Linked DNA regions of Notamacropus eugenii. The protein of the gene in region 3 interacts with the protein of the main gene of each other region in a pairwise test. Links are inferred from orthologs where the notes say so. Each region holds a gene or a part of one and is shown on either strand. Other genes may lie near its edges. The genes, in order: RAD23B, TNKS2, USP25 and RAD23A.

What was found.
Region 1: the proteins of USP25 (region 3) and RAD23B interact in binary tests that used the Homo sapiens proteins (3 or more experiments, as listed by UniProt). The link is inferred for Notamacropus eugenii from reciprocal best matches to the Homo sapiens genes USP25 and RAD23B.
Region 2: the proteins of USP25 (region 3) and TNKS2 interact in a two-hybrid assay, tested with the Homo sapiens proteins (2 studies listed by BioGRID and IntAct). The link is inferred for Notamacropus eugenii from reciprocal best matches to the Homo sapiens genes USP25 and TNKS2.
Region 4: the proteins of USP25 (region 3) and RAD23A interact in binary tests that used the Homo sapiens proteins (3 or more experiments, as listed by UniProt). The link is inferred for Notamacropus eugenii from reciprocal best matches to the Homo sapiens genes USP25 and RAD23A.

Annotation. Positions count from the first base shown.
Region 1 is NC_092872.1:21,550,782-21,558,712, reverse strand, and holds the start of RAD23B (UV excision repair protein RAD23 homolog B), read left to right. Parts: upstream 1-4,930; 5' UTR 4,931-5,289; coding exon 5,290-5,382; intron 5,383-5,847; exon of another isoform or gene 5,848-6,154; intron 6,155-7,931. UniProt on the Homo sapiens protein: Multiubiquitin chain receptor involved in modulation of proteasomal degradation. Binds to polyubiquitin chains.
Region 2 is NC_092872.1:208,564,535-208,572,321, reverse strand, and holds the start of TNKS2 (poly [ADP-ribose] polymerase tankyrase-2), read right to left. Parts: upstream 3,005-7,787; 5' UTR 2,849-3,004; coding exon 2,644-2,848; intron 1-2,643. UniProt on the Homo sapiens protein: Poly-ADP-ribosyltransferase involved in various processes such as Wnt signaling pathway, telomere length and vesicle trafficking.
Region 3 is NC_092876.1:411,068,778-411,075,784, forward strand, and holds the start of USP25 (ubiquitin carboxyl-terminal hydrolase 25), read left to right. Parts: upstream 1-3,997; 5' UTR 3,998-4,493; coding exon 4,494-4,538; intron 4,539-7,007. UniProt on the Homo sapiens protein: Deubiquitinating enzyme that hydrolyzes ubiquitin moieties conjugated to substrates and thus, functions in various biological processes including inflammation and immune response.
Region 4 is NC_092875.1:77,924,089-77,931,284, reverse strand, and holds the start of RAD23A (UV excision repair protein RAD23 homolog A), read left to right. Parts: upstream 1-4,182; 5' UTR 4,183-4,245; coding exon 4,246-4,419; intron 4,420-5,421; coding exon 5,422-5,583; intron 5,584-5,756; coding exon 5,757-5,950; intron 5,951-7,196. UniProt on the Homo sapiens protein: Multiubiquitin chain receptor involved in modulation of proteasomal degradation. Binds to 'Lys-48'-linked polyubiquitin chains in a length-dependent manner and with a lower affinity to 'Lys-63'-linked polyubiquitin chains.

The DNA.
Region 1 (7,931 bases), on a different chromosome or scaffold from region 3:
GTAAAAAAAATCCTCTGCAGACGAAAGCAACTAAAAAGTCCATCTTCTCGATAATCATTTTTTAAAAACAGTATGTGAATGAAATCATAGAGAAAAGTTATTCTAAATGTGTAAAAATATGGTAGAGCCTAGGCGAGGAGAAAATGAGGATTAGGTTGTCTGATTCCGCATTGTTTTAAGGCTGAATTTTTAGTGAACGAATGAATTACGAAGCATTTATTAAATGCCTGCAATTTCCAAAGCATTATGCTAAATGGTGGGGATATGAATAGGAAGACAATATGATCCCTGAACTCAAGCAGTTCGTATTATAACAGGATAAACAATACATAGAGATGGGCTCAGCTGCAAGTCAGATGGAAAGGCCCAGTGGTCGTTAGAGTATAGGACAAAAAGCAGGAGGCAATGCATCGTCATTTTCATTGATAAAAGCATCTTGATTTCTGATGCTGAAACATATGACAAGCTAAGGAGTTTGGTGGTGAAAACTTGTTTTCCTCTAGGTGTTCTATGCCCTATGTAGATATTGAGGTGGTTGGGGTCCAAAAGGTGTGGCCAGGTTTCCTCTCCCTAAGGCTTGTTTTCCTGGACAATGACTGTAGGAGATGGGCTCTTGGTAGGGGAGCGTGGGGCAGGAGGAAGGAGAGCTGCGATTCTTGGGTGTCTCAGCTTATTTGCATGTTAGTGGTGGGGTCGCTGGTGATGCATGGAATGTTTTGTTCCATGGTGGCTGCAGGAACAAGGCTAGAAGTGTAGGAAATGCTGTTATTCCTGGGATTTTGGGGTTCCAGATTCTGAGCTGCCTCTCCTTGGGTCTGAGAAGAGATGGTGTCATGGTAGTAGAAATGGTTTGACTCAGCTGTCACATGCTGCCTGCTCCCTCAGGGTGCTGTGCTGAAGAACTCCTGGCAAAAGCACTTTTACCATCAAATTTAGAATCAACTCTTGAATTTTACAAGTGAGGAAAGTGAGGCCCAGAAAGGTTAAGTCACACACAATGAGCAGTAGACCTGGGATCAAATCCAGGTCTTCTGACTACAAATTCAGTCCTCTTTTTATTGGGTTATATTGCCAACTCTGCCTTCACCAAGAGTCACTGTTAACATAGAGCATAGGAGGCAATCAGTCAATATTTTTTTTAAATGAATCCATCTATTCATTTGAGTAAAAGAATCTACCATGTATTTTATTAGAAAAATATTGTTTACAGAGACTTGGCACCTATCTAAAAATGCCAGAATTCTATAAGAATTCAAAATCACATTTATGTCTGATAGAATTATAAACTTCACAATTTTAGGGGGAGGGTTATGGATTAAGGGAAAAGTACAAACATTATATGAATAAGCTACCAGTTAAATCCTTGCTATCTCCAAACCGTGAAAAGCTGTTGGGTGTAAACTTAACAGCATAGCTGAGGGGACGGAGAGGCAGGAGGACCTGGCTTTGAATTCTAACTAGGATACTTACTCACCACAGGCAAAATCGCTTAACTTCCCCAAACCTTCCTTGCTCGTGGGGACAATACAACAGTTAGTATCAATCTCACAGGGCTACTGTAAGGCTCCACTGAAATAATGCACCTTAAGGTTTTACAAATGTTAAAGCTCTTCTAATCACTGAGCTAGATATTCCAGTATTAGCCAGTTTATGTATATGTAACCTTTGTATACTCATTCATCTGTCGTGTGTGTGTGCGCGCACGCGCAAAGCAAGCAGTCAGAAAAAAATAGCTCCCAATTTTTATTGGGACTGCAAAGATCATCTAGTGCAATCCACTCATTTTACATGAGTTTGTCCCTTGCAAACAACTGACTGTTCTGTGGACTTTTGTCCTTAGAAATAACTGGCTTGTTACCAAGTATTTTTAAACAGCAGAGCACTTCAATTTCTGCCTCTTGCCCTGATCAAACCACAAGAAAAGATTAAAGCCAAACATTCCATGAACACTGCTCAAAACTGCCATTAATTCTTGTTCTTAACAATATACCCCACAAGAGTACGTTGCCCTCCCCCCACCTCCCAGCTAGAAAGGACCTTGCTGTACCTTTCATTCCCCCTTTAATCCCTGATTTTATAACCCACAAAAGCTATTCCAAACTTTCTCTTTTTCCTTTAGCTTCCCATATTTTCTACTACCCCCACCTTCTTGGCTGAGAACTTTATCTCTCTTTACTGAGAAAATGAAGACCAATCCTCACAAATTCCCTTCTCTCTTCATCTCACAAGCCTTTACTTTCATCTTTTTTCCTTGAATCTGATCATGAAACAGTCTTCCTCTCAAGGCTAACGCTTTGGCTCCCTCAACCAACCCACTCCTCTGATCTTCAACCTCTCTTTCCTCTCCCTGTCCATTGGTTCCTTGACCACTGTCTTCAAATATACCCATCTTCACTATCCTTTAAAAAAAATCCTTCACTAGATTCTCAGATTATCTTAAATTATTGTCCTAAATCTCTCCTTCCATGTGCAGTCACACTCCTAGAAAAAGTCAGCACTTATTTCCTCCCTTCCTCTCATCTGACTCACTCCTTAAGCCTTTATAGTCTGACTTCTGAACTCCTCCCTCATCTCTCATAAAGTGTCAACAATCTCTTAATTACCAAGTCTGATGATTTCTTCTCAGTCTTTATCCATATACATGTGTACATATATGTACACACACATATATATGCACTGCATTTGAAATTGATTACTCTTTTCTCCTGAATACTCTATCCTTTTTGGGTTTCAAGGAATTATTCTCTTTCAGTTCTCCTACCTATCTGACCACTCCTTCAGTCTCCTTTGCCAGCTCATCATTCATATTACATCCCCTTACTGGCTGTATCCTGGGCTCATGTTTCTTCTCTTTCTCTACTCTCTCTTGTTGACCTGTATCAATCCCTATGGGTTTGATGATTTTTATGCAAATGAGGCACAGATCTATATGTCCAGTCCCAATCTCTCCCCTGAGCTTCCATTCCAAATTACCCACTAACTATTGCACATTACAAACTGCATGTCCAAGGGACATCTCAAACTTGATATGTCTAAAATACAACTCATTATCTTCTCTTAAAAAATCTTTTTATCCCTCTTCCAAAACTCCCATACTTCTATTAAAGGTACTCATTCTTCCAGTCTTCTAGGTTCCTAACCTCAGGGTTATCCACTCTCCTTCATCCCATATATTCATTTAATTGCTACATCTTATAATTCCACATCTAACACAACTCCTTTTCTCCACTCAAGACAGTCACCGTCCTAGATCAGGCCTGACTATTCTCTTGCCTGCCTATTGCAATAGCATCCTAATAGGTCTCTGTCACTCAGGTCTCTACCAATCCAAATCTGTCTTCCACAGAGCTACCAAAGTGATTTTTCTTAAGCACAGATCTGATCTTACTCAAACTTCAGTGGTTCTCTATAACCTGTAGGATCAAATATAAACTCCTCTGTTTGGCTTTTAAAGTACCGGCCCCAACCTATCTTTCTAGCATCATTACATACTACTTCCACTCTATACACAAAGCACTCCATTTCCCCTCTCCACACCTCTGTACCGGCTGTATCCCATTCCTAAAATATACCCCCTCCTCACCTCTGCCCCAAGGCAGAGATTAAAATCAAGCACCACCTTCAAAACCGAGCCTTTCCTTTGCTGGTGCCCTTCCTCTCTAAATAAACTGTATTTATATTCTGTACTTTTGCTGTGTATATATTTAATTAGGTAATGCTGTATCATGTTTAGCTACTTTACAAGTATTGTACATTTATGCCATATATATATTCTCACACGTATTTGACTCCCCCATTAGGATGTAAGTTCCTCTTAGAGTAGAGATTATTTTGTTCCTTTTTTAAACCTATATCCCCAAGTGCCTAACACCATGCCAGGCACATCGCATATTGCTTAACGCTTGTCCGAATAAAGCCTGTTTAGTTCTTTGTATTTTTATCTCCAGCACCCAGGACAGTTGCTGGCACGTAGTAGGTTCTTAATAAATGCTTGTGGATTGACTAATTCTCTAAATTGACCCCTCATTTTGGAGGTGAATTAACAAAAGCTGGAAGGGTAAGGGGGAATTCCTGATTAGTCCGAAAGTAACAAAGTAGCAACCAAACCGCGGCCCCACCTGGCTTTGCCATTAATAGCCACGCGATCTCGGTCAAGCCTCTGAACGCCCTCAGCCGCCTTCAATTTCCTCATTCGTAAAATGCTACAAGTTGTAACTGACACCACCTGTGTAACATTGTCAGCGCCAGGCTCCAGGGGAACACGCGGTCAACGCTTAAAATCCTGCGTAGCTCTAAGCATCTACCTTTTTTTTGTACGCAGTTGGTTCCCCTTTTTGTAGAAGTTGTCCGCACCTTCTCTCCGCCGGGACCTGAGCTTTTCTTTGTATTTGTGGCGCTTAAGCAGTACCCGGCACTCAGCCGGCGCTTAATGATTGCTGATGGATTTAATTTCGAAAGGCTCGTGTTGAGTTTCAGTAAAATGGAGGACTGCAGGGAGAGCCGAGGCTGTGGCAGTCTAGAGTGAACTTTAGCTCCCAACCCAAACCGTGGCCCTATTTCTTGTCTCCCACGCCCCAGTTCAGGACCGCCTGGCCTGCCACTCACACTGGGGAGATAAATGGTGCAGGCGCCCGGGGGAGGCCAAAGTGGCGATGCGAGCCACCAGGAGGAATCTGAAACTCCTTTACTATCCGGACTTCGGGCACCAGGATCCCCCCTCCCACCCGGACTCCACCATTTCGTACAGAAAGGCGGCGGGGCAGCGAAAAGCGCAAGCCGCTCACTCCGGACGCGGGCTGCCCCAGCACGAGGTGCCAGCCCGGCAGCCCGAATTCCAGCAGCCGCTCCTCCACCCCACCCCCATCCCCCAGCCTCGGAACCTGCGTGAACAGGGGCTACGTGCCGCGCGTGCGCACAACCCGCCCGCCTCCCCCTGCGCCTGCGCGCTTCCCGACACCCTCCTCTTGACCCCTCCCCCAACTTCTTCGGGAGGGGGAGGGGGGATGTCGAAGCGAGTCATGATGGTGGCGACCAGGCCCTGATGAACTAGCGGATTCACTCACTGCCTCCCAGACCCGCCCGCAGTGCTGAGGACGGACTCCCCACCGGCCCCGCGCCTCGGGGAGAAGGCGATCGCGGCCGATCACGCCGGGGGAAAGCGACAGCGGGAGCGGCGGCGGCCCAGGCCCGGGGGAGAGGCCGCCCCGCAGGGTGAATGTGACCAACCCCACCGGCCACCTCGACCTCCCTCCCAGCGGGCCCGAGAGGCCGACCGAGCCCACAGCAGCCATGGCGTCCGGGGGCGGCGGCGACACCATGCAGATCACTCTCAAGACCCTCCAGCAACAGACCTTCAAGATCGACATCAGCCCTGAGGAGACGGTACGGAGGGGAGGGCCGCGCGGGCGGGGGGAGGGGCGGGAGCGCGGGCCGCGAGGCGGGCCCCCTCCCCCACCCGCCCTGGGGCCCGGGGGGGCCGGGGGGACTCGAGGAGGGGGCGGTTGGGCGCCCCGGCCCCGGCCCGGCCCTGCGGGCGGCGCTGGACGCGCGGGAGAGCCCCACGAGAGCTTTAGGAGGGGCGGACGGGGGGCGCCAGCGCGGCTGCGCGGACCCGGGGACTCGGAGGGGCCGCGGGCGGGGGGCAGTGCGGCCGGAGCCTGGGGGGGGTGGGGGGGCCGAATCTGCGCGGGGGGCGGGGAGGGCGGGGAGGGGGAGGGGAGCCTCGGGAAGTGCCGAGCTTGGGGGTGGAGCCCGAGGCTGTGGGAGTCTGGGTGGGATTGGGGCGGAAGCCGCGGGAGGACCTGGCCCGTGGGAGGGCGGTCACGGAGGCTGGGGAACCTGTCTCACCGGGATCCGCAGTGGGGAGAGGATCTCCGCAGGTGTGCCTAGGCCAGGAACGCCCCCGAGTCCGGCGCCATGTGCCTGGTGGCACCAGGACCCCTGCTGAGCCAGCTGCCCAGCGGGCGAGGGGCAGAGCCTCGTGGGTCTCTCATGGAATAAAATGGCAGGGTTGGGAGAGACCAGACCAGACCCTTGGTGCCCTGGAGAGCTGCATTAAGTCTCATCCTCCCGTGTTAAAGTTTAGAACAAGCTACCGTAAGCGTTGCCCGCTTTAGTGCCCACCGCCGTGAGCTTCTGTGGCAGTTTGGGCGCTTGTGACAGCTAAGAGGGCTGAGGTCACTGCCAGGGTATTCCAAGTATGGGCCAGTCCTGAGAGCGCAGGTTTGCCAGTTAGGCTCTGCCATGGTCTGTGCCAGATGGGAAGCCTCCCGCCTGACGTCCAGGTGGAAGGGCCTTCTCCCTGTTTGATCTCGTGGCAGTTTGTGTTTGTTTCTGCTCCTTGATGGAAATTCCTTCATCCCCTAGTTTGCCTCTTATTTATATCTGTCCCCCTTAACATCTGGCAGACCACGAGCTTAATCAGTGACTCATGTTGATGTTAATGGCAGAAGTTATTTTTTCCTGAATGAAGAAAGGTGGCCATTTAATATGGACTTTTTACTGGACAGCCACCCTTCTTGGTCCAGGAGGAAGGACATGGAGTCTTGCTCTATATATTTATTAAAATCCCGTCCAAGTCCTTAGATCATTGCATGAGAAACCTAGTTTAGTTGTGTCTGACTCTTCTGTGACCCTGTTTGGGTTTTTCTTGCCTCATTTTTCAGATGAGTAAAATGAGGCAAATAGGGTTAGGTGGGTGACCCTGATAGTAAGCATCTGAGGCCAGATTTGAACTCAGGAAGACTAAACTTTGTGACTCCAGGCTGGCACCCTGTCCACTGCTCCGTTGACTGCCTCATATAAAAGTATAGTACAGGAATTCCTAACCTGGAATTGTGACATTTAATAGGATTTTTGAGTAGCAAATTCATGTTTAAAAATAACATTTTTACCTTAAAAACTTGTCTTACGTAGTAGCTAGGATACAGTGAACTGGGCCTGGAGCTGAGTTTAAATCAGACTTCAGAAACTTACTAGTTGTGTGAGCCTAGGCAGGTCGCTTAATGTCTGCCTGCTTCACTTGGTTCAGCTGTAAAATGGGAGGTCGGAGAGCACCTAGCTGGGAGTGTTGTGGTGAAGTTCAGAGGAGTTGGTTTTTGTAAAGTGCTTACCAGAGTGCTAGATACTTGATAAATACTTACTCCTTTCCCTGGTTCCCTCTTGGAATAATTACTGACTGCCTGTTAAGGAGTTGAGAATCACTTAAAATCTCCTTGAATTGTTTCTTTACTTTCCAACAGGTAGAAAAACAATTTCTGTGTGTGTTGTTGGTATGAACAAAATCAATTGAACAAATATTAAGTCCATTCTGTCTGTGGAGCTGGCGGTGAGAAAACTTGGATGTGATCTCTGGACTCAGAACTTTTACTTTAGTAGAGGGTGTATGAGAAAAGTTAAAGTCACTTGATAATATAAGTGAAGTGCCAAGTGCTTTTTGAAATAGGAGAGGGTGGTCATGTTTCATGGAGAGTGTAGGTGCTTGAAAGCAATGCTGTCAAATTCGGAAAGGGATCTCTGCAACTGCATATTGACTTAGAAAACCACAAATGAACATTATTTATGTTTTATTATATTTTTGAGTTCTGTTTTAGTTTGTTTTGAGTTTCTCTTCTTTATGAAAGGAAATCAGTTCTAGAGTTCACCATGCATATCTGTATAACAAAGAAATAGATTGGTTAATTTTAATAGTATATTTATTTACCCCCAAATTCCCTATATTTCCTTTACAATTACTTCAAACCCCATTCAGTATGCAGACTTCAGGCCTTCAAAACTTGGAGTGGATCTGAACCATATTAAAATACATTGGGAAATATTTAACAAAAGTAAAATACAATATAACATTAATTATGTCAATGTGTGGGGTTTTTTTAAGTCGGTATATGGCCAGTTGGGCTGCAGATCTCGTAAGGGCCAGTTTCTGTTTGAGT
Region 2 (7,787 bases), on a different chromosome or scaffold from region 3:
TTATCTTTGTTCTCACAGACACTACTCTTATCACCTCTATATGAAGGACTACAAAGGCTTCTAATTGATATCTCCTACTCCAGGCTTTCCCCTTCTAATCCATCCTCCACATAGATGCTGAATAGATCTTATTCAAAAGACAGCTGGTTTAGCAGCAGGTCACTATCCCGCTAAAAAAAAAAGCTCCAGTAGCTCCCTATAGCCCTTAGGACAAAATATATACTCTGTTTAGCATTTAAAGATCTTCAGTCTGGCTCCAGCCCACTTCTAAAACTTAATATACACTCTTAAGTTTAGCCAAAATGGCTTATTTGCTGCTCCTCACAGAGGTCACCCTCAATCAAAACACATTTATTAAGCACTTACTGTATATTATGATAAGTGCTAGAGATACAAAGGTCAAAAATTGTACCTGTGCTTTCAACTTCCATACCTTTGCATAGGCTGTCCCCCATGCCTGTAATGGGCCCCACTCCTCACCTCCAACTCTTAGAATATCAATCTTCTAATGTCAATTCAAGTTCCTTCTTCTATAAGAAGTATTTCCTGACCCACCCCTCATTACTGCTTCTCTCACAAATTACCTTGTATTTACTTATAGTGTACTGTTGTCTCCTACAGAATGCAAGATACTTGAGGACAGAAACTGCTGCTTTTCTTAATCTCCCCAGTGCTACGTACAGTACTAGGCACATGGTGGACACTTAATAAATGTTGTCTGATACAGAAAAATGAAAAGTCAGCTTTTCCATGTAAAGTGGAACTACCTTACAGATGATAAGCAAGTTATTCAAAATCCTTATTACAAAATACAAGCAAAAACATTATAAGTGTATGTATGTATGTATGTGTGTGTGTATATCCATACACATATGCTTATTAGTCATAGAGAACCACCCAACATAGATATTTACAAAATATCACTGTATCAACATTACATAGTTTATAAAATGGAGGTTACAGAATTACTCTTCTGAATGGAAAGAAAAAAATGTACAAGTTCTATTCACTATTTTAAAACTAAGGAGTTCTCATTTAGATTGAATTTACAAAATTTAAATTAAAAAAAAACTTGCATTAACCTTTACTTTTACAGACTTTTCCCAGTTCTTGTCTCCCTCCCCTTTAAATTCTTATAATCAGTAATTGGAGGGCAAATTTAGGTGTAGGGGGTTGTTGAAAGGTAACATGAGGTCTCTGGATAAAGGTGGGGGAGGAGAAACCAACATAACTACAGACATCTAGATTATATTTTTTACCCATCTTCAAAGGCTTTTTCTACTAAATGCTTTCCTATCCCACAGACTGAGTGGACTCTAAATAATCTTATTTTCATATTATTAAATCAATTTGCTACATTCCCTCAAGTCAGGAAGCAGTTGTTTTACTGTAACCTACATTGCCTAACAGAAGTTCCGGAATGCTGGGCATGCCAAAAACAGAATCCATTAAAAAAAAGCCTTAGACACAATTGTATAAAATAGGAACATCAAGTCTTTGGTGATTTCCCATTTTGATTTTCCCATACTGCCCTTTCTCTCCCATGTTTTAGCAAGAGGATTTTTAAAAAAAGGGTGGGAGTGAGAGTCAAATTTGGTTTTTGTTCAAGAAAAAGGGAAACAAGGAAACAAAAAATTAGCACAAACTTTAAATGAAACAATACATGTGAACTTTGCAAACTGTAAAGTGATACACAAATGTCAGACTTTATTACTTCTTAGCAAAGATGGGATGGGACAGGACACCTTCCCCCCCCTCCAATGAAAAGTTTAGGTAGGGCTAGTCCCAAACAAATTCTCAAGTAGACGTACTAGGGGCCCACAATTTGTCCGGAATCCTTTTGTCCCACCCACTTATCAAGCTGGGCCCTTTTCTGACTACCCCCCTTCCCCCATTCCAAATCAAAATTTCCAAGTCCAGTGTAAAAGGAGACAAGTCCAAAGGTATGCCAGCCAATCTGCTGATCTTATTGTGTATTCCCTCTGTCACTCCCCCTCCCCCCTTAAAGTAATTTCACCCTCGATTTTCTAATAGCTCCAACTGGTCCTTTCCTTTCAGTTTGCAAAATTTTTTTATTATACCTATTTTTGTAATAAATACTCCTTGAATTGAATTATTCAAGTCTTACCCCCCGTAACTACTACATGAACGCTGCTGGTTATTACCCCCATTCTCCCCGTATTATAGCGTTTGCATTAGAACTAAGGCCTTTAGTGCCTTAACCCCACAATTTAATAGTAGAAATTTCTGGTAGGACACGAGTGAACATATAGGTCGGAGGGGGGGTGGGGGTGGCCAAGAGCCTCTCTAGCCTTCAAATCACCCCAAGAGTGAGTAGGGCAGCTCGTGGTCCCCGACCCAGTCGCTTTATCAGGACAGGAAATCCCGGTGACGAATTCGGGAGGTGAAAAACAAACAAACAAAACGCCACCTACATGGTGGGTGGTGTCAAGGGCCCGCAGCTTCCCCCATCCCCCTTCTCGGGGAACCTGGGCCCAGGGTTCTGCCGAGGAGTTCCGCCTGGGGCCCGGGCGCTGGGGGTGGGGTGTGGGGCTGCAACATCCCAGACCGCCCCAGGCCCGGGGCGTGGGGGGGAGCTGTGCGCTCCACTTCCGGCCGGCGGCGGTCCCCTAAGTTAGTTACCTGCGGCGAAGTGGAGGGGGGTGGACTTCCTGCCCGCCGTGTCGCGGCTGTTCACCTTCTCCGGGGTCACCAACTTTTTGACGCGCTCCACGTCCCCGTTCCGACAAGCCTCGAACAACTCCCGGGCCGCGGGCTCTACGGCCTCCCCCGCCGAGGCCGCGCCCGCGCCGGGTCCTCCCCCGCCGGCGCAACGGCGGCCGGACATAATCGCGGCCAGCGGCGGCGGCGACGGCAGGAGGAGGAGGGCGAGGCTCCCGGGGAGAGACGTACTCAGAGTCCCAGGCTGCTCCGTTCCGCTCCGCCCCGCCGTCACCGGCCCTGGCGCAGGACCATGGTCCCCCCCCTCCCCGCAGCGATCCCTGTGCCCAGGCCCCGGACGCCTCGAGCTCCCTCGGCTGCCCAGCCGCTCAGGCAGCGCGAGTCCCTCCCGCCCCGCCCCCCGCTCCCTGAGCGGCCGCGGCGACGGTGGCTGCAAAGGCCACTCCGGCTGGCTCTGGGGACTCCGGGAGGCTCACGGGACGGCCACGGATGCGCGTGCGCAGAAGCGACTGACGCGTCAGGCAGGTTTTGCTCAGAGGGGGGAGGGGCCTACAGGGAACTAGACTAGAGGAAGGAGGCCGTTGAGGCGCAGGCGGAGAAGGTCCAGGGCCTGGCTGCCATGTTGGCTGCTGGGGCCCCTTCCGCCCACAGTGCTCGGTTAACTACTTCTGCGCATGTTCTCTAAGGGGAGATTCATTTTTAAGCCTTTTGGCCTGCCGAGAGCGCTTGGGGACCTCGGCGCGGCGCGGAGGCCTGAAGCACCTTGGGGACCCTTCCTGAGGGAAATTTCCGGTTGTTTGCCTCCCCTCCTGTCGGCCCTGCCCCCTGCCTCCCCATTTTCTTTGCTTTTAGTAGCCGATTTCTAGAAAAAAGAGAGGCCCAGCCTGATTCCCGCCGTCGTGAAGGCCCGCCCCCCTTATTACTTTGTGTTCGCTTTCTACCTGGGAGAGGGATCCCCTAAGCAGCCCGCGCTCGGCAAGCCTTAGATCTCGATTCAAGGGCGGGCCTCGGGGATTCGCTCCTCTTTTTACACGCTTTGAGTGTAAACATCCCGAGGGCTAGGACTGTCTAGTTTTTGCTTCCCAGCCCGGGGCGGTGTAATTGTGTTTGTAGCCCCTTTGAGAGGAATACAAACACTTAGAAGGTGTGGTAAGAATGAGATGAATGAATGCTCGAATCCTCTCTGGACCCCTCGATTTTTAACTTCTCTGCTCGGACGCCGCGCGGTTCGGGGGCGCTGGGCAGTTACAACAGCCTGCCGTGGTCCGCCTGTCTCGAGTCTCTGCCCTAGCCAACCCAGGAATAGCCACGTCACCCCCAAGGAGAAAATCGTCCCAAGCCCTTCCTAACCCGGCCTCCTCCCGCCGTAACAGCCTTCTTACAACATACTGCTTCGCACCTACCCTCCTATCCGGTAACACTGGCTTGTTTCTTGAACGAGACACCGTCTCTAGACTGAGTTTTAACCGCCTGACATTCTCTCTTTTCTCCTCCCTATCTCTTGCTTTCCCTGGCTTCCTTCAGGTACCAGCTAAAAATCACATGTTCCACAGAGAGCTTTTCCTCAATGCTAGTGTTTTCTCCCTTATTATTTACATCCGAGCTTCTTGAAGACAGAGACAGTGTCTTTGTAGTCCTAGCTCTTAGAACCGTGGCTGGCCGAAGGTAAACGCTTAACAAGTATTTGTTGAATAATGATAAATTCTTTAGTCGATAGTAGAAATGTGGAGAGTACAGTGAGGGAATTGTATTTCAAATCTCACCCGAGAGGTACCTTGTCCTTGGACCTTAATCCTTTTTTTTTATAAAAATGAGAATAATAGCACCCAGCTCCCTGGGGTTGTGAAAATTTTGAGAGATAATAGGTTAATCACTAATAGGTAAAGTGCTTTGCAAACTTTAAAGCTTGGCTAAGTATAATATAATAAAAAAAGAAAAAAGGGTCTAGCTGCTAAAAACCATCCCCCAGCTTGTTTCTGAAAGGACTAGGCTTGAGGGTCTTTGTTACAAGATTTAGAGTTGTAAGAGCCTTTAGAAAGTCATCCAGTCTACCCTCTCCTTTTGGAAAAGTAATTCAGGCCTACTGAGGTCTCTAAGTGCTCTAGGCCACTCTAAGACTACAGGGATCCTATAGCATGTGTATATAATGAATGCATAATACTAAGGCCAGCTGCTTGAAGATAATGTCCCTTTCTTAAACCACCCCCTCAAACTACAGGCTGCTTTTTTGTGACTTTCTTGTCTTTTTCCTTCAAGGTTCATTGTTAGCATATTTCAATTATAAAAAAGGTTGAGTAGGTGGGGAAGGACACACAATGTTATTTGTCCTAGGAACTGCCTCCTCCTCCACTCTTTGTGTTCTTGAGGAGGAAAAACAGTATAAACTTTCAGCTCCAGCTTCTAGATCAAGATGCATTAGAGTCAAATACAAATTTATTTTTTTTTAAATAAAGCATATGATGACTATTGGCATTTTTGTTGTTGAATTCATTTTGGTGGTGAGTAGAAAATTGGTCTCAAGCCTCACATACTGGCTCTAAGTGCTTTAGGTCACTCTAAGACTACAGGAATCCTATATCGTCCCCAAGGAGTTTACAAGGTAATGGATGATAGCTATCAGATTCATACTGGGACTGCTTCATTTTTATTTTTGTATTTCTAGAGTCTGGAACATAGCAGGCACTTAATGTGTTTTGACTGATTGCTAATTGATACAGTTAGAGTACTAGCCAAGACAAATGTTTTAAAAAATGATTACATAGGAAGTATAGAAAGTTCAATTAGAGATCTTCAAGCCAAGGCTAGACATCACTAGTCCACTATGTTGTAGAGAGGATTTTTGTGCAGATTTAATTTGGACTTGATGGCCTTTAAGGTCTTTTCCATCTTTGACACTCTGAATACGTGTAGAGCAATGAGAAGTGTATAGAGGAGGAAGCTGCCTTACCGGAGACATCAGATGTTAAAGCAGTTTGAGGTTAGTGAAAAGAGCTTGCTAGAACTTTAGGGATTGTTACCTAGAGAATTTATATGAACTAACAAAAAATGAAGTAACCAAAGAAGAATAATTGTAACATCCATATTATAAAAATAAAAAATTTGAGGACTTTTAATAATGAACAGAACCAGAACAATTTATATAATAGCAACACTAAAACAGTACTTTGAAAGCTGTAAGAACTATGATCAATACCATAACCATTCATGATTTCAGAGGACTGATAATGAAACATGTTATCCATTACAGTCAGTAAACATTTTTTAAGTTCTAATACGTGCCAGGCACTATGCTAAGCGCTAGGGATATAAAAAGTGGCAAGACAGTCCCTGCACCCAAGCAATTCACAATCTAATGGGGGAAACAACAAGCAAAAATTTACAAAAATCTATATACATGATAGGGAAGGGACTAGAATGAAGAGACTGGAGAGGGCTTTCTGTAAAAGACAGGATTTCAGTTGGGACTTAAAGGCAGCCAGGGGAGTTAGTAGATAGGGAGCAGGAGGGAAGAGTAGTCCAGCATGTAGGACAGCTGGAGAAAATGCCTGGAGCCTTAAGATGGCCTATCTTGCTTAAGGAACAGCCAGGAGACCAGTGTCACTGGATCAAAGAATAAATGTTAGGGAGTAGTTGTAAGAAGACATGTAGGAGGGGGCTAGGTTATAAATGCACTTGAATGCCAAACAGAAGATTTCATATTTGATCCTGGAGGTGTTAAGTGCCACTAGAGTTTATTGAGTTGGGGGTGTGTGGTGAGGGGGATTGGGAAGGTAATATGGTTAGACCTGCACCTTAGAAAAATCACTTTGGTGACTGGAGGATGGATTGCCGTGGAGAAACTTGAGACAGGTAAACTCAGTAGTAGGCTATCATATAAAGGTGATGGATTTAGGATGTAGAATGAGACATATATTTTATATGCAGCCATTTAGGGAATTTGTTTAGCTTAAATGGGAGTAGGAGAGAAAATAGATTTCTGGTTTGTTTGTTTTTTTTAGACAAGTGGGAAGACCCACAAATGTGAAATGTTGTATAAACTTTCAGATAAGGTTACTATATTATTACTTTTGCTGTTTGTTTCATCATCAATAAAACTTTTTAAAAAGAAAATTTGTAAGCGTAAATAACATCACTACTTTTCTGGTATTGCAGTGACTTCTGTAAATTTTTGTTTTGTCTCTTTTTGTTTTGTGAATTTTTTCATAGAATGTCAAATTCAGGGAGAAGTCTCAAAATCCATCTAGTGCAATATGCACCCACACAAAAAACCCCTCTACAACATAACTGGCAAGTAGCTTCACCTCCAGCAATGGAGAACCCATTACCTCCTGAGACAGTCCATTCCACTCTTGGATAGGTCTAATGGTAAGAGTTTCCTTATGTGAAGTCTAAATATACCTCTTTGCAACTTCCACCTGTTGCTCCTAGTTCTTCCCTCTGGGGCCAAACAAAACAAATCTAATCCCTCTTCCATGAGACAACCTCTAAAAATACTTGAAGATAGCTATCATGTCACCATACTCATTACTGTAATTCAATCATACTCTTGCACTCAATAACTGGTCATTTTCTTCAACAGCAATAATGAGATTTCTCAAATATATATACATGTGCACACATAAATAAAATAGCAAGCATATAAGCTAGTTTACATAAATGCTTATGTTTATTTAAATATGCATATGTTTATATATTTGTTAAAGGGGAGAAAGAACCCCTGATAATCGGCAAAAACTTCATATCCTCCTTAGTTCCTTTTCTCAGACCTTTGTGTTCTGAGACAATTGCTCCCACCTAGTGGTTTAAAAAGCACACAGACTTTTAAGGATTAGTAGAATAGAAAAGAATATGAAAGACCAAGTCATTTTCAATTATGCATAATTTGGAATTTATCTGCTAATATTAAAAAAAAAATGACCAGTGGAAGTAGTGACCTGCTCCCTATCCATGCCTCTTCCACTTGGACTTTCAATTATCTTCGCATTATTCCCTAAACCACTTATTGGCCTGCTCTATGATATAGTGAAGTGCCCTTCCCTCCCCGTGCACCCCTCCCACCCAGGTCTCCTTTGTGTATTGTCTTCCCTCACCAGAATTCGAGCTTC
Region 3 (7,007 bases):
CTGCTCTATGCTAGTAAAATCACTGTCACTGGTCTCAAGGAGGTTTGGGTAAAAACAAGTGAAATAAAACCTTTCTTCTCTATCTGACTTTCCAAAGAGTTGCTACGATTTCATGGAGTATAAGAAGTCCCTTGGTCCATCTCCCTAAAAGTTATAATTTCCTGAGAAAAAAAGCCAAGGAGTAACAAGAAACTAGTTGCAGAGGCTTTAACCATCAAATCCGAGGAAACTGTCTATGCTCGTCCATATGGCTCAGAAGCATATTTGATCCAATACATAGATTGGTAAAATGTTGCTCTGAACTCCTCTAGTCTTAAGTAATCCCCAGAGTGGCTAGTACTAAAGGGTGAGAGCTTTGCAGTAAAGTAGCCTTGGAAGTATGTTTACGGAATTAAACAGATCCAGGTGGTCAGATTTCAAATCTAATTCTGGATTACCCCCCACTGGAGAGTTTCTGAGAAGCTTGGAATGGAATGTCTGGAACTGGCATATGCTGAACCAGTGCTCTCTGGAGGTGAGAAGAGGATTAAATAATATACAATCCTGTTCCAGGAGGGTCAAACATGCTGTCTGCAGCATTAAGTATGGTGTGAACTATTTTAATTACATTAAACTGGAACTGGGAAACATTTAACAAAATCATTACAAATACAATGTGTTTTTCTAAGTCAATATGCAGCCACAGGAATCCTTATATATGGATAAGTGGCTTCCATTTCTACTTCAGTATGACACCTCTGCTTTTTATCATGTTCTGATTTGTGTGACTATTTGCCAATAGGTTGAAACTTGTTTTCATTGCTACCCATATTGACAGGTGGGGTCTACCATCTGTACAATCCAGAACAAAGGTCAAGGAAGATAGAATCTGGGATCTCTGAGGAATATTTGATTAAGAGAGAGCAAATCTAAGTTGGGGAAAGTCTGTGAGGAGAGCAATGACATGCAATTGGTAGGGTCAATCTATTTCTCAGTGTATAACTTATTTCCAAAGAACTCTCTGTAAAGCAAGAGCCTATTATAAGACTAAAATAAGACTTTGGGGATCCCTGTATAATAGCTTGAATTAAATTTCCATTTCACAGAGATCTTTTATACATTCAATCTGAAAATGTCAGTAAAAAATACAAAGTGCAATGGTACCACTGAAAGCTTTATTCAAATCCTAACAAAAGCTTGGAATACATAATAGTTTGAAGTCTTTCATCAGTGGACAAATTCACTAATTATCTGCTCCTTAATGTTTTTCTATTGTCATCACAGACTTTGAGACAAACTTTCCATTGCTATATAAATATCAGCTATCATTATTTCTTCCACTTTAAATTGTTATGTTTTTACCCTTTCTCCATCTCAATTGGGTGCCCCTCCTTTCAAACACTGCTCCAAGCTCTCAGTGAAAATATTCTAGAACACTCAGCTCCCTGAATAATACCATTATGACAACAGAAAACATTCTTTCCTTTGTCTTAACTGCATACTGCTACCTTGTTGATTGAAATCAAATTATGAGCATAAAGTAGAAATTGACTAAACTACATCACAGACAGGAATACTGCTTTGAATAGAAACACATTCAATTTCTTTCTCAGCAACAATCTAACTAGTTTTATGTGATGATAATTGAGGTACACTTCATCTCAGACTCTCAAGGGTTTTCTGACCCTATGGACAATAGAATCTAAGAAATAATTTCTGGGATCTAGAGTAGCAATCCTTTAGGCACTCAAACACTTTACTGGATAGTTTTTCATCAACTTTTTTTCTTTTACTGATAATTTTGGTAAATAATTAAAACAAATATTGGCTTTTATTATGCCAAATCTATCACTTCAAAAAAATTTTGTTCAAGCTCTGCTCTCATCATGGTGTAGAAGTTAACCTGGGCTCCACAAGGCTGAAGAGTTTAAATTCTAGCATGATCTACTTCACTGAAAAGACTTCAAATACATTCTTGGTTAACAGACTGTATCATTACTAGGTATTTTGACTGCGGCAATCTAGTTTGATCCAGTAATTCAGGTTGATTGAAGTGTCTGAAGTAAGAAAATAAAAACATGGATAAAAGGTTCAGTGGTGTCTTTTATTTATGAATCATTTACAAAGAAAATTGTATATTTTTTCTTCGGTCACTATAAAAATTATGAGCTTTTGAAATTATGAAATAGTAATACAGTTGAAAGAATTTGATGATCTGTATTTTCCCAAGTACTACTGTTTTTTTAAAGCTTCAAAAATATGATGATATGAAAGGCATAATCCAAAAGGTAAGGTTACTATAAATCAGGTGAAAAAATGTGGTAATGCTAGAAAGAGCTTTATTTGATGAACAATTTTAAAAGCAACTTGATACAAAAAAATGAAGCCCAGTGCTCAAGAAATAATGAATTAGATGAAATTGCAGGAATTTATTACCAAATTCTTATCACTAATTTCTAGTTAAAAAAAAAGACATTGGCTTCTGTAGTAGCATTATATTACCCTGAATCTATTTTCTGTTTGAGGCCATTTGGTTTTCCCAAAAGTTTGAAGGTTCTGGACAACAGAATGCTGTGACTTGTCCATCGATAGCTGAATGCTGGACTGGGAGTCAGGGGACCTGGATGTCTCCTGTATGACCTTGGACAAATAATTTCTCTGGGTTTCAGTTTCCTTCTCTGTAAAATATTTTATCAGTTAAGTCCATTTCTATTTACACGTGAAAATGCAGATTCAAAGAGATTATCACAAAAGATTCTGACCTAATCCTTCCGATAAACAACTTTTCCTGTAGACATCAGATTAGAGATAACATTAAAAATAATGCACTATATTTCACTTTAAGTTTTCATCATTTTAAAATTTTATTATTAGTGTCTAAATAGCCATGAAAAAAATGATCACCTTCAATGCCATAAATATGATTACAGTAAAACTTTGAATAATAGTCTTCAAATAAAAACTGTACTCTTTAAATAATGCTAATACATAATAAATATCTGTTGGCTGACTTGGTCATTAAATGAAACAAAAAAATGTTCCAATTAATCTGTAGTTAAGATTTACAATGATAAGTAGAATTCCATTCCTATAGGCATAGTTTATGCTCATGTCAGTAACTCTCCATTTTCCCCACCAGACCGTGAAGCTAAAGCTGTTTTTGTTGCCAGAAATTTCTTGTTGCCTTCAGATTGGCGCCCCCTCCCCCTTCTATGTATGGGTAACGAAATGTGTAGCCAAGAATGAAGTCATATGTACAGCTGTAACTATTTTTAAATCGTTACCCTAATTTGGCAACATTTTAAGGTATAGCTGAGTTATGAATTAGTTATGTCACTATTCTGCAAAAAAACCCCAACCCCCCAAACTCTTCCCTCCCTGCCCCTCCCAAAGCTGCAGAAAATGTCTCATTCCAAACGAAGAGCACATGCTGTCAGTATCTGCCAGAGGAGCTGGGGCAGCCCCGGTTAAGCCAAGGGACCACTGACAGCTTAGAAGCGGGTTCCCACCTTGGTGGCCTGATTCCCACTTGAACCTGCTAGAGTCGTTTCTTCGGGTGGAATTCCTAGAAAGAAGGGCGGCCTGCAGGAGCTTCCTAACCAAGTTTCTGAAGGCCCGGAGGAGGGACGTGGGCTCACACACGCACAGAGGGAGGGAAGAGGCTGGGGGCCAGGCCCAGGGGCGCGATCGCGGGAGTCCCGTCCGAGGCCGGGGTCCTCCCAGGGCGAGGCTCCGGTCAGGGACTTGCGTCTGGGGGTGCCGGCATGGGGGAGGGGAACCTGCGGGCCTCGAGGGCGGTGAGGGGGAAGAGCCGGGTCACTCCTCGGCCCGCCCGGGCCGCAGGGTGTGTCCGGAGGGGCTGCGGCCGCCTCCGCAGTCACAATGCGAGCTCCGAGGGCGGAGGGCGGGGGAGGAGGGAGGCCGGAGCGGGAGGAAGGCCGTCCAGCCTGGGAGAGGGCCCGGAGGAAGAGGAGGGGAGGGGGGCGGCGGTGACGGCCGTTGGGGGAGGGGAGGGGCAGGCGGAGGACAGCGCCATTCCGGACCCGGCCACTCCCTCCTTTCAGTCCGTCAGCCCCGCGGTTCACTCCCTCCCTCCCGTCTCCCGGAGCTCAGCTCAGCCCAGAGAGTGACGGGCTTCCGCTTTGCCGCCGCCGCCCGCCGCGGTCTCTTCGGCTTCGGAGTTCCTGCTCGCCCTCTCTCTCCTTCCACCTTCCCGTTCTCGCCCATGGCCCCGGCTCGTCGGGGCGCCCTGGGCGTGCTGCGCTGAGTCCGGGCTCGCCCGGCTGCCCCCGGCTCGTCCTCCCTCCTTCATCCCCGGCCCGCAGTCCTGACCCCGAGCCTGGCCGAGCTGTCCTCGGAGGGGAAGGGGAAGAGGAAGAGGAAGGGAGGAGAGGGCAGAAGTGAGGAGACCCCGAGAGCTTGCAAGCGGGAGCCGGCAGCCGCGGGAGGAGGCAGGACGAGGAGGAGGAGGAGGAAGGGGAGGAGGGGGAGCAGCCGCCGCCGCTGCGGGGGCCATGACCGTGGAGCAGAATGTGCTGCAGCAGAGCACCTCCCAGAAGGTGAGTCCGCCGGGCGGTCCTGGAGGGCGCGCCCCCGCCCCCGCCCCCGCGCGCCTTGTGGACTTACTCCGGCTTCCCCTCCCCCGCGGCCGCGGCCCCCTCCCTCTGCTTTCTGGGCCGCTGACCCCTCGGCCGGGTCGCTCTGTTACCCAGAATTTAGGAAGTGCCAGGCAGAGGCCAAGCGCCGCAGGATGAGGCCCCCCGTCCCCCCAGCGCGCAGCCGGGAGCCGCGGAGCGGGGCGCCTCGGAGCGGGGGGCCTCGGAGCGGGGCTCCCCATGGGTCCTCCCTCCGCGCCCCGCCGCAGGACTGGGGCGCTTCCCCTTCCCCGGGGTGGCGAGCTGCTTCTTTCTCTTTGATTTGTTTTGTCCCTTTGCCCCCAGAACTTCCTTTCTGACCCTTGCTGCCCATCCGCCCTTAGGAAACCCGATTGATTCAGGGTGTCTCTTTGTGGGCGGGGGGGGGGCGCAATGAAGGTTTTTTAAAATTTATTTGAGGGGGTGTACTTAGAGTGGAGCAGGTTACGCCACTTGCGCTCCTCTGTGGGCTTGTTTTTATTGTGTCCCTCTCAGGTTCCCTTTTGAAGTTTATCCTAATGAAATTTCAAAAAAGAAGGAATAATTCCCCTTTATGCACTTCATTTGGACTTTAAGGTCAGAAATAACAGGGTCCCTGTCATGTGGGTCCTTTGTGTGAAGATTTTTGTTTGTTTCTTTTGCGTACTCTTTAGGCTACAAGGTATGGCTGAAAAAGGGAAGAACCTCTGGCCAAGTTCATACTATAGAAACCTTTTGTCTCTTAAGTTTGACCTTGTTTCATTTTTGACAGTTTGCCCCCTTTGAGTTCATGCCCTCCTAGAGTTAAAAGTGTTAGTAACAAATTTTTTTTTTTTTATGGAGGAAAAGGAAGGAACAAGTGTTTATTAAGTTCTTCTATGTGGCAAGAGCTTTATATATATTAACTTACTTCATCCTGGTTATAACCCTGGGAAGTAGGTGCCATTATTATCTCCATTATGCTGTTGAGGAAACTGAGGCAGGCAGCCGGTTAAAAAAGACTTAGGCAAAAAGTCGTAATGGCAAAACCTTCAATTTGTAGTACTGGATTATGTGAGATGTCCATGTTGTCAGATTTAGCCTTCATAATCTTGCCTTTGAACCATTGCATGAGAGAACAGTAAACTATGACTTAGAATTTCTTTTTAGTTTGTGTTAGAAACAGTCGAGTAGGCAATTTTTAATTAGTCTAGTGATTACAGGAGACCTGAAGTTTACTGTGAAAAATTTGTAAAACAGATGCTTTGTTTTGTTTCTTTAGGTAAATACTCTTCCATTTTAGTGACATTCTACCCAAGCTTGTTTGTTTTCTTGATTACTCCCGTCTTCCGAGTGTCTATCAATCTTAAGTTCTTTTTTCTAGCTTTGAATTATAGCTAATTAACTTAGTTAATAATGTCTTAAAATATTAGTTAATAAATATCTTAAAATATTGGTTGGTAATATAATTAATATTAAAACTTTACTGCTTCCTGAGATAACTGTAGATACCTTATGGGATGTGGTGAAATAATTACAGGCTTAATTTACGTCCTTTACTCTTTAAATTTCATCTGAAGGCACATTAACAGAAGTTTAGGAGAAAGAGCTTTTAGACTTGGAATCCAGAGAGAACTGGGTTTGAATACTAGCTGTTTACATGGTTGCCAAGTCCCTTGACCCCTTTAAATCTCTATTTCCTTATCTTGTAAAACAAGAATAATTCCAGGTTTTTGCCATATAGGATCATAGTGAGACTCAAATGAAATATTTTGCTTAAAGCACTTTGTAAACCTTTAAATCCCTACATGAATGTCATATGTTATTATAATTCATAACTCCTACATTCAAAATTATATCTAGTTTGAAGAGCTCTTAGAGATGATTGAATTCAACTCCATTTTAATGAACCTTTTTTGAAAAGAAGGAATTGTTAAATTGAAATATTGCCACCATTTCAGATAATTCACAGTATCTATCTTACTATATTAGAGTTTATTGGAAAAAAGATTGAAACTTCAAATTCTGTCTACACACTAAGTTTTAGTTAGCAACTACTTTAACAAAGAGTGCTCTTAGCTAACAGTAACTGTTAAGCAGTATGACAGAATAAGGAAGATTGTCAGTAAGGGAGGAAATCACCCAGAACAGAAGGGAAATACAAAGAAATAGAGGCACCATGGATAAAAAGAAAAAGTACAACTAACATTTACCCCAGGTACCTATCCGTGGTTCGAATAAGGTCACTGGGCTATAACTAGTCTAAGCAATATTCTAGTTTAGAGTTTAACAATGTATTCTTTATAGTGGGAGGAATCTCTTGGTGGTGATGATGATGGTGGTGATTAACTGCTCCTCTTCCTCCTATCACCACTACTTGTATTTATATGCTGTTAGCACCCTACGGTTTTCAGATTGCTTTATATACATTATCTT
Region 4 (7,196 bases), on a different chromosome or scaffold from region 3:
CCCATCCTCAGGAGCCAGAGAGGAGGAGGAGGGGGGTCAGTCAGCCTGGCCCTGCCCTTAGGTATCCCATAGCACTGAGGGGGGCTAGGGTTTGGCCAACAGTGCCTAAGCCAAACTCTTTGCTCCCTTTTTTCCCCTCTGCCTGGGCTGAGGGCAGGGGTGGGGGCAGAGCCCCTGTTGTGGGGGGGAGGGTTAGGGAGGGGTTGTCAGTTCTTGCTTGGTCACATTGAGAATGTAAGAACAACAAAAAAAGAAATTTCTATTAAATTAAGTTTTGTGTCTCCCTCATGTGTTTGATTTCTTGGAGAGGGGAGCAGTGTAAGCTTCTCAGTTTTCTGAACTGCTGCCCAGCCCTAAGCTAGTGGGGTGGAACAGATAGATCCCTGGGGTTCTGGTCAGTGTGAAGTGTCTGTCTAGTGGCTGCTCTGGCCAGAGAAGATGGCCTCTGTGCCTCTGGTCAGCTTCTTTTCCCCACCTGTGCTGTAGGGCTCAGAGTTCCAAACAACAGGAGAGATCCTGGTCCATGGCCTCTCTCCAGGAGCCAAAAGACTGGATTATGAAGGAAAGCTTTTTGGGAGGACCTGTTAACAGTAACTATTCAGTTTTGAGTTTATAAGTAAGATTTAACGTAATAATAACACTGTCAGAACCTTTACCACCTAACTTCTTTCTTCTGGGTAACTTATTTTTTTATTGAGTCTTTAAAATTTTCTTTCCCATCAGTATCACTAGCCACCACTCCCAATACAAAGCTCTCTACCCTCCCTGGTAACAGAGTCAAGGGAAAAAAATTCACATAATAGCAGTGTCTGAAAATGTATATTCATTCTGTACCAGTCTGTCCACTCTTTGAAGGGAAGCCTGCTCCAAGTTTTCTACAGTTATCACTGGTAATTTCATTGATAAAAGTGCTTTTTTCTTTTAGAGTTATTTTTATCATCAGCATATGAATTCTGGCTCTGTACTACTCTGCATTATTACATAAAGTTTCTATTCTTCCCCCCTGAAATTGCAGAAATTGTCATCCCCAAATAATGACCACCCACTTTATTTATATGGGCCCTTTTCCCTCTTGATCACTTAGTGTGGCGTACATAAATCCCAGTGATTGCTGTGTCAGAGTATGTATATAGGGTTTGGTGAGTTGAAATTATCCTAATTTCTTGCCAGAATGACAGGATGAGGACTGGTTTTTATAGTTTGTGTTGTGATCAAGATATTTATGTGTTAGACCATGAAGTTGAGAGCCCTTGATTGTAGCTGTTTCTATCACCAAGGTCTAGCATAGACTGCTTTGTTCATGACAGGCATTAAGTTGCTTGAATAGAGGAAATGAAAGTGGAACTATATTGGGGCTGAGTCCCTGAATGAGGGGCCTAAGGAGGGTGTGGCTGTTGTCAAGATTGGGAAGTTGGGAGAATTTGGTACTGGGCTCCAGCTTGATAACTGGGCCTCAAGCTGTGCAGATTGCTAGCAAATACTAGAGAGAAGAGAGCGCCAGGGACTAGTCAAGTCCAGAGAGAGCCCCAGGAATGATTGATCTGACAGGTGAGGTCTCCAAAGGAGAGCCTAGAAAGGACAACAGCTAACATTTTTATAGTGCTTACTGTGTTCCAGATCCCATTTGGTCCTCACAACAACCCTGGGAGGTAGATGCTATTATCTTCATTTACAGATGGGTTGACTGACACAGATTAAGTGACTTGCTGGACAGAGTCTGAGGTGGGAATCTGAACTTGAGTCTTTATGACTCCATGCCCAGCTCTCTGTTTCCATTGTGTGCCATCTAGATTACCCATCCAAAAGAGGTCAACAAACAAGATAATGAGGATCCTCAAGCCTTAAAAGATTGGGGTAGGAAAGGATGGCTGTTGGGCTTGGGTAAAGAGACAGGTGAGGTGAGGCCTTCAAGGAGAGGACTTATTAAGGTTGAAGTCTTTTGGGCTCAGAACTAAGATCACAGAATGGAAGTTACTTTGTGACAAACAGTCATGTTGGGTGTCTCTTCACTAGGGCTTGTGAGCCATCTGTTAGCGCTGTTAGTAAAGGGATCTCTGCACAGGGATAGATGAAATGGCCTCCAAGCCTCCTTCCGTTATTGTAATGTCATTTGAGGTCCCCCAGAGATCCCAGAGGACCAGCGGAATAAAGATACAAGTCCCTTAACTCATTGTATACCTGCTCTTAAGTTGTATCCTCCCTGAAGTTCAGATCTCTCATTTTGTGTGTTTGAGAAAATTAGTGCTGGTCATAACTGATAGGCTATATCGGCTATTGCCCCTTTGTACTTTCTAGAATCAAGTGTCCCTCCCTTGCCACAACTATTCCCCTATGTCGTCTCTTACTAGAATCTAGCAGGACTAGTATTTATATCCCCGGTACTTAGTACGATGCTTGACGAATGGTATTTGCTTAATAAAATGCTTGTTCATTAATATGTTTACTCAGTGAACTTAGCAAACTGGTGGATGAGAAAGATGAACTAGAATGAAATTTGACTATCATTAAGGCTTACACAGTGGCACAGTGGATAGAATGCCTGGCCTGAAGTTAGGAAGATACATCTTCCTGCGTTCAAATCTGGCCTTACACACTTACTAGACCCTGGGCAAGTCACTTCACCCTGTTTTATCTGCCGAGAAAACCCCAAATACAATATTAAAAGAAAACTCAGCAGCAACAGCTACAGTAGCAATAAGGGCCACAGTGTTCTAGAGGCTGGAAACTCTCAAGCTTACATTCCGCTGGGAATACATGTTCATTTATAAGCAGCGATGCACGGCAGCTATTGAGCCAATCACGCTGATTGTTTACATTTCAGTGTGTGCTTTTATACCTTGAAAATTAGCAAACATGATTTATTGTTTGTTGGTTATACTGTAGACCAGATGTATTGAACACTAAACCTGCAAGCCCACAACACTTCTATAAATAAAAAGATTACAAAACACTGGTAATATTAATATGTGCTTTTCTAAGTCACTATGTGTCCTACGGGGATTCTTATGTACTTCAGTGACCACCATTTCTATTGATATCACTGCTCTAAAATGTGATGAAAATGTTAATAATGCAAATTAAACTTAAAAGGGTGTTGTGCTACCTTTTTTATTTTTGCAGAGTATGTTAAAAATTTACCAGCACATCCCTGCATAAGTAAATATGAGAAATTTCTAGAGATAATTCACAGTGGGGGAGGGGAACAAGAGAGGCTTCCTGTGGAGGTGGTACACCTGAGCTTTGAAGGAAGCCGGGAGTTCTTATCAAGTTGGAAGTGAGAGATATTCCACTGCATTTTCCCCCCAACTACATTTTTTGATATTAAGCTTGTCAATGGAATTCAACAAACGTTGACTACACTGTATAAAATGCTGAACTGGGTCCCAGATGGACAAAAATCTAGCTTGGGAAGTGTGGCGTAACCTGCGAAGCCATCACGTAAGGAGTCCGCACTGGTGGGAGATCTGACCCCACCCTCTGACTCTGAGCTGAGACCTCCCCTACGTGATGACCTCCTAACAGAGGGGACCTCCTGGAGAGCGGCGAGAGGCCGGATGTTGTGTTCGTGTCTGGAGCTTCGCCCAGAGGAGTCGGTGAAAGCCTCAGGACCAAGAGATGCGTAGCACCGGGTGATCCAAGCGAGGCTATTTCCCCAAACAACTGGGATTTTCTTGAAAGCACAGGATATGGACTTTGCTGGGAGGGGACAGGCTGGAAGGTGTAGGGGATGTAGGAATGTAGGGGATGGGGGATGGGGGAAACCTGGCTCCCCCCGCCCTGGAGGTGACAGCACCAGGCTTGTTCTTCTGTTTGCTACCTGTGTGACCTTGGACAAGTCACTGAAGCATTTCTGGGCCTCAATTTCCTCATCTGTAAAAGAAACGGTTGGACTTGTAAAGTCCCTTGCAGCCCTAACTATCACACTATGATCTCCTGGGGCCATTTTGTGACAACATGACGCCACCCAAACAATGACGTCACCATACGAGGAGCCTCTAGTGCGCAAACTCCAGGGGAGAATGGGGGGGCAGAGGTGTGCTGCCCCTGCGACAGCGACAAGGTGGTTCCTCAGTACGCATGACCGGGAGAGAAAATTCCTTTTTTTTCCGTTCATCGACCCCCGTCACGTGATCGGGGTCGCTGCGCTCGCGCCTCTCCCTCCTCGGTCTCGTCACGAGGCGCGCATGACCGGGAAGCAGTTCCCGGCGTGGCTCAGGGCGCTAAGATGGCGGCGGCGTGAGTTGCATGTTCCCGTGTGTCTACTGTCCCGGGGCCGCCGCGTCGGACGGAGTGAGGGACGGACCGGACGGACGGAAGCAGTCGCTGCCGCCGCCCCCCGGCCCAGCCATGGCCGTCACCGTCACCTTGAAGACGCTGCAGCAACAAACGTTTAAGATCCGCATGGAGCCGGGGGAGACGGTGAGGCCGGGACGGGGACGGAGGCCGGGACGGGACAGCACAAGTCCGACTCGCCTTCGCCCTTCTCCCCGCGGGGCGGGCCAGACGCAGCCCCTTCCACCCCCTCCCCCTTGCTGTCATTAGCGGACCTCCCTCCCCTTCCCTGAACCCTCTCCCCCTTCCAGGTCCCCCAAGTCCCCCCTCTCCCCGTTACCACCACGCTCTCCTTCAGCGGTCAGCGCCCACCCTGTCTCTCTGGGCCTTTGGGGGCGGGGATGGGGAGCCACCCCCAGAGCTACTTTTTGGACAAGGGGGAGGCTGCTGGCAGAGCTCTGGTCCTCTGTTGGGGAAGCCCCGGTAGCCCTGGGCGATGAAGGTAAAGATGATGATGATGATGACGACAGCAGTGACTTACTTTGGATAGTGAGCTATAGCTCCCCCCACCCAACAACACTGCCGAGTAGGTAGTGGGGGGAGAACTGTCCCCACAAGTACCGGAGGTACGAGGGGGAGAGGCGAGGGTGACACAGGCAGACAAAGAAGCGCTGGGAGCCCTGCATATCCTGGACCTTTGCTTCAGCTGTGGTACTGACTGCGGGCTGAGGCAGGGAAGGGATTATCCCTCCTTTTACAGACTCCAAGGGCCCTTCTAAATCCCCTGATCTCTAAATCCTCTGCTCATAGGAAAGATGAGGAAACTGAAGCCCAGGAAAAAAGGGACTTGCTTAGGTTCATATAGTGAGCAAGAGCTGGGATGAGAAATTCCAGCTCCTGACTTCTAGCCTGGGCGACTCTCCATATTGGCATCTGTTCCCCTTTCCTCCTGTGGTCCCCAGAGTTCTGAGGACCCAGTCTATAAGACTCTACCCTTCCTTCCCCTCCCCGATCTCTTGACTCTCACTTTGTAACCCTTGGACAAATCCTTTGTGTTTTGGGTCTCAGTTTCCCTATCTGTAAAAGGATGAGGTTGGATTCTTTTTCTAAGGGTCTTTCCTGACCTAAATTCTGTGATTTTCTCCTCAGGTGAAGGTGCTCAAGGAGAAGATTGAGGCAGAAAAGGGTCGTGATGCCTTCCCTGTGTCTGGACAGAAGCTTATCTATGCAGGAAAGATCCTCAGTGACGATGTCCCTATCAGAGACTATAAGATTGATGAGAAAAACTTTGTGGTCGTCATGGTGACTAAGGTAAGGACCAGTAGGCTCCTGGGGTAGAGGAGACTAGAAGATATTCCAACTATGGTGTGTGCCCATCTGTGTCCTAGATAGATTAGGCCTGGTGAGGGTGGGGTCTGGTCCCCCAGCTCTGTTGGAGCTGATAAAAACAAGGCTCTGACCTATCTTCTCTTTGGCCCTCCCAGGCCAAAGCTGGGCTTGCCACTTCGGCACCTCCGGAGCCCTCTGCCCCTGCTGCTGCCAACACCCCGGAGCCCTCCACACCTGCCCCACCAGCTCCCACCATTGTTGCCATGCCCCTACCCCCGCCAGCACCCAGTGAGGAGAAGAAGTCCACAGAAGAGTCAGCTGCTGGGACACCTCCAGAGGCTGGGCCTGGGTAAGGCCTTCCCAGGTTGGGGTTGGGGGACTCATGAGCTCTGGACTTTCCTTTTCTCATGCTTTCCCAGGATCTCTGTATTGGAAAGGGACCTCAGAGGGCATCAATTCCAGTTCCTTCATTTATAAACAAGGCAGCCAAGGCCTAAAAAGGGGTTAAATGACATTCCTTCTGTGTCATTTCTGATCATTTTATCATCCAACCTCTGCTTTAAGACTTCCAGTAACAGGGAACTAAATCCTGAGGCAGCCCATTTCATTCTTGGACATCTCTAAGTTTTTAGAAAATATTCTTTAAATTGAGTCAAAATCTGCCTACCTACAACTTGTACCTTTTCCATTCAGTGCATTGTACAGTGTACTGCAGGTCACTGGCTCTGGTGTCTGAGGATCTGGGTTCAAGTCCTATGGCTTACACTTTATGTTATGTGAACTTGTATACATTACTTAACATTCCCTGGGGCTCAGTTTCCTCATCTGTAAAATGAGAGGGTTGACTAGATGATTTCCAAAGTCCCTTCCAGCTCAAATTAGATGATTTTGCAATCTAAGTTTTACCCTTTGGAGCCCAGCAGGATGAATCTGATCCAAGTCTCACATATATGAGACTGCTCCAATGCATCTCTGGGTTTGTTGTCTTCTGTCCCCACTCCCAGAGATCCAGGGCCCCTAGGATGGCGAGAGAGAGGTGAGCAGCCCTTTGAGGAGCCTGAATCAGAGGGCACAGAGTCTGAATGAAGGAATGGGATCTCAGAGGCCATCTGAATCCAACTGGGTCCTAAGCAAGAATCTTTTCTAACAACACCTCTAATCCATGGTTGCCTGGCTTCTCCTGAAGACTCCTAGTGAAGGGGACCTCACTACCTCCCAAGGCAGCCTCATGCTTCTTTGGGACAGCTCTCCTAGTTAGGAAGATTTTGCTTACATTAAGCCTTAATCTATTTCTTAGCAACTTCCCATTGCTCTTATTTCTGTCCTTAGATCAAGCAGAAGCAGTTCTCCACGGGATAGCCCTTCAGATCTTAACCTGCTCCCTTGTAGCCTCAGATGTTCCCTTTTCTACCCCAAACTTCCTCAGTTCCTTCAGCTCCTCCTCACAGCTTGTTCTCCCATTCTTTTACCATCCTACTTGCCTCTCAGGCGGTTTGATAAGGGCAGAATAGAGCAGAACTTTTGCCTTCTTTGCTTTGAACAGTGTGACTCTCATAGCAGCCTTGGATTGTTCTAACTTTACTTTTTTGGCCGTT